Tribolium castaneum: one gene and its partner. The main gene of each other region encodes a partner of the protein of the gene in region 2 in a complex. Links are inferred from orthologs where the notes say so. Each region holds a gene or a part of one and is shown on either strand. Other genes may lie near its edges.

Evidence for each region.
Region 1: Psf2 (region 2) and dpa share a complex: the UniProt entries of both Homo sapiens proteins name them as parts of the CMG helicase complex. The link is inferred for Tribolium castaneum from reciprocal best matches to the Homo sapiens genes GINS2 and MCM4.

What each region holds. Positions count from the first base shown.
Region 1 is NC_087396.1:22,083,781-22,088,209, forward strand, and holds the start of dpa (DNA replication licensing factor MCM4), read right to left. Parts: upstream 2,987-4,429; 5' UTR 2,829-2,986; intron 2,783-2,828; coding exon 2,336-2,782; intron 2,286-2,335; coding exon 2,088-2,285; intron 1,909-2,087; coding exon 1,674-1,908; intron 1,618-1,673; coding exon 1,375-1,617; intron 1,024-1,374; coding exon 795-1,023; intron 744-794; coding exon 284-743; intron 231-283; coding exon 1-230. Other genes in the region: side-VII (neural cell adhesion molecule 1), read right to left, coding at 4,416-4,429. UniProt on the Homo sapiens protein: Acts as a component of the MCM2-7 complex (MCM complex) which is the replicative helicase essential for 'once per cell cycle' DNA replication initiation and elongation in eukaryotic cells.
Region 2 is NC_087395.1:26,564,372-26,567,075, reverse strand, and holds Psf2 (probable DNA replication complex GINS protein PSF2), read left to right. Parts: upstream 1-1,390; 5' UTR 1,391-1,397; coding exon 1,398-1,645; intron 1,646-1,688; coding exon 1,689-1,959; intron 1,960-2,007; coding exon 2,008-2,088; 3' UTR 2,089-2,124; downstream 2,125-2,704. Other genes in the region: glutamate receptor ionotropic, kainate glr-3, read left to right, coding at 1-276, 331-352; RWD domain-containing protein 4, read left to right, coding at 2,225-2,329, 2,377-2,486, 2,535-2,704. UniProt on the Homo sapiens protein: Required for correct functioning of the GINS complex, a complex that plays an essential role in the initiation of DNA replication, and progression of DNA replication forks.

The DNA of each region.
Region 1 (4,429 bases), on a different chromosome or scaffold from region 2:
AAATGCGAGGCTAATTTTCGGTCGAAAAGCTCGCTTTGGGGGTCCAAAATCAGAAAAATTAGGTCAAAGCGCGATAAAAGAGTGTGTGGTAGTTGCACGTTTTCGATTATGGTTTTATTTTTGTTCCATTGAGATTCGGACGGGTTTGCGGCCGCGAGAATTGAAGTCCGGGCGTTTAACTGGCAGATTATTCCAGCCTTGGCTATGCTCAAAGTCTGTTGTTCCATCACCTGTAAAAACTCTGTTTAAATTTTGATCAATTGCTAAACAATTCTCAACTCGCCTCGTGCAAGACACTGCGAGTCGAGTCGTTCATTTTGTCGAACTCGTCGATACAACAGATGCCGTTGTCGGCCAAAACTAGGGCCCCCGTTTGCAGAACCAACTGTCTAGTCTCGGTGTCTTTGGTCACATAGGCTGTTAAACCAACAGCTGAGGAGCCTTTCCCTGAAGTGTACTGACTTCGGGGAACCAAATTATAAACGTATTGTAAAAGTTGTGACTTGGAGGTTCCCGGATCTCCACACAGCAAAATATTGATTTCGGACCGAAAATTCGTACGACCTGACGTAACAAATTTTTTCTTCGTTCCGCCAAACAGTTGTAAGAGAATCCCTTTTTTGACGTCGGCGTTTTCGTAAATCGACGGCGCTAAAGCGTGAGCTAGCCGTTCGTAAATATCCTCTTTTTCTGAAAGGAGTTGTAATAATTCGATCCGTTCGGGTGGAAAACGATGGTCTTTGCTGGAAGAATAAGAGGGGAAGTGAGTTATTTTTTCACTGTGGTGTTTTTACCCGTCCTCCTCTTCGTATAAGCGTTTCGTGTCGATTTTACGGAAGTGGAGGACGTCAATGTGTGTTTTGTAAACCGCGCGAAGGTTGCGTTGTCGGGGGTTCACTTGAAGGGGTTGCGCTCGGTAAATCCCCGTTACGGTGACCCTGTCGCCCGGTTGGACGGCGTCCACCAGGTCGTTGTGGGCGAAGAGGACGACGGTGTGCGGGGTTTGGCCCGCAGGCATGTCGTCTGACCAAAAACATTATAATAATAAAAAAAAATAAAAAATTGTGCTTATGATTTAACTAGAAAACGTTTTTTTTATGTAACTGTAACGTTTAGTTAAGTGGGTAAGTGTTAAGTGTGGATTAAATAGAAGATAGATAATAAAAAATCTTCAATTCTTCCCGAGGTTGGCGACAAAAATAAATTTTTTCTTATAGTTCAAACAATTTTTTTCAGTGTAAAATATAAAAAAGTTGAAATAAATTAGAAAAGAAGAAATATCATGGATGAAGATAAACTGGGATCATCTTGTAGAATGGTTAAGAATAAAAAATAAAAATAAATCCGAGGAGAAAACATAAATTAAAAAAATACCCGGGGATTCCTGCAATTTGATCATCTGTTTGTCGGTGAACTGCGACCGATTGTGGACCAAAGTAAAGCAGTGATTGGTGTTACAACTGGTGCAAAGAGTGGGTTCGGTAATGCGCCCCCTGTCAATTTCCACAGTCGTTGTAAAGTTACAAACTATACATTTGAAAAATGCCTCTCTCATCTCAGGCATTAAATTCGATGTACGGATGACCATGCCAGTGATTGTGATCAACTGATCAATATCTGTGCAAAAAAATAAAATTTTATATTAAAAGATTTTTTTTTGGAAGGAATTTAACCTTCAGGGTTCAGGGCCCTCATATTTCGTGTTTTTTCCGCATTGAAGGGCCGGACTTGAATCTGGTGCTCCAATTCAGCAGCAGGATAACGCTCGTAAAACATTTCGTTGATCATCATGTCAAAAATTGGAATGACTTCTTGAGGATACGAAACCAATTGGCGGTATAAATTGGCGTCAAAAGTCTCAATGTGAGAACAGTTGACGTTCAAAAACGGCTCTTCGAGGGTGTTTATCTACGAAAAATAATTGCTACACGATCAAGTTTGTGATCAATGATTTTGAAATTAAGTTGGCAACAGATAAAAAAGACAAATACGATTGTTTTTTTTAAATTTGTCTGACGCTTAAATCTGATAGCATTGCCAACGTAATAACAAAGTCAACGCCTCTTTGATCATGATAAGGTTCGCACCTCGTCCAATTTTTGAAAATACAAGGGTTCGTTAACATTCATATCATCAGTTCTTTCATCTTCTTCCGCATTTGGATCAATAAACCGCAAAACAAACTGTTTGAACTTCTCTTTACATTCAGCAACTGAGACATTAGTGCCCCAAATGACCAAATGCGGGGCTGTACTGCCCTCATCACCCTCAGCAACCGGATCCAACTAAAAAAATCGAGTCAAAACGAGCTCAATTTTTGAAACAGTTGTTGAACCTCTCCTCCGACATTAACTTGTCTCATCCTCCGATCAGTCCTCACATCGGGCCGCATCCTAATTGGGGTCCCCCTAATCCCCGATCTGGGGGTCCTGATGGACCCCAAAGAGCAAGGAGTCCCGTAATTAAGTGGCGAAGATAAATCAATCTCGCTCATTGCCACCGGTGGGCTTGTGACCCCAGCCGGAGACGAGGGGATTTCCCCGCCGTCGGCGTCCAAATCACGTCGGGCTCCGCCCCAACGCATTGGGGTATCAATGGTGTCGCTTTTGGCAGGAGTTGGGTTCCGTCTGGGGGTCCGAGATGGGGTTTGGGGAGGGTCCTCACGAGCTGGGGTGCGGTGACCTCGAGGGGTTTGACCCCCGGCAGGTCTGCGTCCCCGAGGAGTGGGCGCATCATCGTCGCGGTTTGCGCGAGGGGTACGATGGGGGGCTGGGGAAGACATCTAATTTGGGTTTTTAGGTGGAGTTATCGCTGATTTAATCACTTACCGTAAATAAAACAACAAAAAATGTGTTGATAATGTTTTTTTACACAATTAACCAACTGTTGTTGCTGTAAAAAAGGCGGGAAAACGCTAAGTAGTTCGTGGAAGAGGTTGCAGATGACGCGCGCTTTGTTAATAGTGGCTAAAGTTTCAACGTGGTTTTAATGATTGTTTACCCCATTGTTTGTAAAATTAAAACTTTGTAACAATGTTGATTTGTAGATAAAAATTCTGTTAAAACCGAATTTTATAAAGTTTACGTTATTACATTATTTTCAAGGCTGCTTGGAGTTGCCTTAGCTACAAAGCCGCATGCGCACAGAATTTTGTTTTAAAAATCAAGTGGCTTTATTGTTTGTTGTGAAAATTTGTTGGTGTTTGTTGCTTAAGACTTTTTTTGGTGAAAAATCGTGCAGAATTGGTGTTGGGTGTGTTCCAGATCGAGAAAAAGGTAGGTTTCACATTTTGTTATTAATTTAAGGTCAAAATTTTGATGTTCTTGTGCTTGAGCTCCCCGTATTTCTCAAATTCGGACATTGTGAAAATCTTATGCATCTTATGCACTACAGCATTTAAACCTTTCTATTAAAGATATAACAATAAAGATAGCAATATAAGGCCCCAAAATTGAATTTTTTATCATGAATTTAACCCTACATAGAAAAAATGAATGGTATGCAACCAACATTACGAACGTGTAATTCTACAGTGAACGGACTACTTACTAAGTTAATAAAATTTTATTCAGAGAAAATGATTTTTACCATTAAATAGTAAAATATCAAAATGTTATGTAATAAATTTCATCAGGCACATACCATTATTTTGCTAAAATTTGTGGAAGGTAAAAAAAATTGGTATGGGTGAAATAAAACATTGTTTTTTCAATACATTTATATTTAAATTTTCACAGATGAAATTTGATTGGATAACGAATAACCATTACACCCTTCAAATAATTACAAAAAATGTAGGTATGTAGTCGTGAACACTCGATTTAATTAAAGGTAGGTAATATTTACAAGGCAAAATAGTTATTTATATACAGTTATATACAACATGTACAAATTCTGATATAATCTCTTATACGATATATAAAAAGTCGTATTTAAGTAACAGACTTGGCATTTATTTTTGAAAAAAATGATACATCGACGTATCCTTCAGATAATTTATAATTATCACATTTATTTTCATTACCTAGGTTTATGTACAAAATATACAAAAATAACACTCGTATAAATGAAGCGAATACAAAAACTTTCAGTAGGCAAAACGCATTTGACAAAAACGGCCTATACAACAATGATTTCCTTGAAGCTAGTAACATTTTCATAAGTTTATCTTTTTTACAACCACTCGCGACGACGTACACCAGCGAATAAAAAATAAGAAACCCCACCCTCACAGCACGTAAACCTTCCAAGATATGTTAATTTTGCCAAGCGTAAATAATTCCCGGAAGAAAAAAAGTAAACCCTTTGTTCCCAGTGAATTTAGCCTGTTGGTACAATTTCGTTGGTAGATATAAGAATACTTAAAACAATTATTGGAACCCTGTCTTTGGCAGCGTTTACAGGGAAGTCACTTGTCAAACCGTGCTTT
Region 2 (2,704 bases):
ATATATTAGGCGAGTTTTGGAAGCTGGATTGATTAAAAAGTGGTTGCAAGACGTGATGGCGTCGATTTTAAACGCCGAAGTACAAAGTACGCAAGAGGAAATGAAAGCGATCATGAACATGAAAAAGTTTTTTGGGGCAATTGTAGCTCTATTTATTGGTTATTTCATCAGTGTTGTCGTATTAATTGTGGAGAATGTTTACTTTCATTTCTTTGTCAAAAGGAATCCGCATTACAACAAATACACCAGAAGCATTCATCACGTAAAAAAAGCGGAGTAATTATTACATGCATTCTTTTAGACTGTTCTTGTACTTCATTACTTTATTAGGAAATTTCATTTGACTTTCTGAGAGATAACAACAACATTAGTACTAACCACGATATAGAGACAGACAGGTAAACCAACTCGCTATTATAATTGATTCTAACGCTGGAGCAAGTTGATAGACGGCAGCACGGTAGACTGGGACTGTCACAATTTCACAAATTTTCTTTGTTTTTTATAAAAAAAATGATGCGAAATTAAAAAATGTTATCTCAGCACCCAAGTTAGTCATCTTGTAACAACTTCTGCTTTTTTCGCGCTGAAATAATAATATTTTCTGAATAGTTCTAAACTTCGGTTCGATGCATTTTCGGCCGCGAAAGACATCGAAACATTGAAGTCAGAATAAATGCTTTCCAGAAAAAAAACTCCACTACCATTCGGTGCTGGCATCCTTCAGGTATTAATTGTTCTTCATAAATGTCGTATTTTTAACAACGTGATGCGTGTATCTTTTTTCTTGTAAACATTGTGACAGTCCCAGTCTACGCTGGTGCCATCTGTCAGATAAAATAAAAGCTCCAACTTGCTCCACATTTTGGTTTGCGCCCGACAATGGAAAATAAGGGAAGTTGGTTCACCAGGACTATCTATACATGGTGGTACTAACTGTGACAACTGTCAAAAGCAGCGTATTGGTGTAAAGTCAAAGCCCTCTTGACAATTTTTCCAAAAGTGTGATTACAGGCATTTATCAAACTTTTTGAGCAAAATAATCCTTCCTATTAAGAGTTGATTGAAATGTTTCACATCTTTGTCTTTGTCGTTTTCTCTTTGAAGTCACGCAAAATTTTCCCCATCTGCCCCCCTCAAAAATCTAAGTTGTGTCGTTAAGGGTAACTGTGACAAAAAGACCTATGACGATTCTGTGGGTGTAAGACAGCGCGCAACCCCTTATATATTAGTATAGTCATGTATAGTATAATTTATTAAATAAAAAACACGGTTTTCGCACTTTATTTTTAAATGATTTGTGAACTTGGCATTATTCAATTTCGCGCATGCGCCTTACTTTTGGCGCCAAAATTATTGAGGTTATTCAAACGTGAAAAATCTTCGACCATTGAAAAATGGATCCTGAAGAGGTTGAATTTTTGGGTGAGAAACAACTAGTCACGATTGTCCCACTGACCACAGACGATGACTACCTTAAACTAATTTCGGGTGATTTTGGCCCATTTCGTATGGGTATGCCTGTTAAAGTACCGTTATGGGTTGCTGTCCAATTAAAGCGACAAAAACATTGCAAAATACAACCCCCTGATTGGATGGAAATCGAGACTTTGGAGGCGATTAAAAACGAAGAGAAACTTTCTAGGTGTGAGTACTTTTGTTAGCCTTTAAGTGCAACAAAATTGTAGGAACTTTACGAAAATGCCCAGTAAGTTCTACATGGTCGAAGCGAAACAAATTTTGGGGTGCGCCTCTGATGATATTTCACGTGCGGATGAAATAAGAACGATAATTAAAGATATTTGGGACATAAGAATGTCAAAATTGAGGTCTTCAATTGATTTATTGGTTCGGAATAATGGGGCTTCTGCTGTCGTTACAAACTTAACTTTGATGGAAATTAATTCGATTAGACCGATTTTACCACACACTTTAGATCAGATACGCCGAATGAAAAACGTGAGTGATTTTTTCTAGTAAAAAAGGGAGGTTATGTGAATTTTTTAGTTTAAACCGTTTCACGGCTGGCGTTCCCAGGACACATCCTTTGTATCAGATTCACGGAGCTCCACTAGTTTTCACTCTTGATTATGTATAAAATCCAAATAAAATCTTTGAAATCTGTCTTCTGTCAAATTATTAAGGTTATGTCACCCGAAAGTTGGGTTATGTATTTTTAGAAAATTTTACATTTTTGTAAATAGAAATGTTTTAAATTGTTACAATGTCAGAGACTGAGCTTCAGGATGAAGAGCGCGAAGTTCTGTCGTCAATTTACGACGGAGACGACTGTTTTAAGCAGATTTCGTCCAACACCTTCCAATATAAAGTGAGTCATTTGGGGGCCCAAAACAATTACAATAACCATTTTTTCAGTATGGGGAGAGTGATGCTACGAAATCATTTCTATTGGAAATACAATGGGGTGAAAAGTACCCCAACGCAGCACCTAAAGTGAACATGGACACTTTTTACAATAAACACATGTAAGTGCTCCCCTTTGTTCAAAGTTCGTTCTCAAGTCGTGTGTTTAGTATCAAGCCTTTGAAAGACAAGATTGTGTCTGCGGTGGAAGAGGAGGCGCAACAGTATTTAGGAATGTCAATGACTTACTCCTTGTTTGAATTTATCAAAGAAAAATTTGAGGTGCTTATGTTGGAACAACCGGAAGAAATTGCGGAAACGGTTGAGAAATCACCTAGCC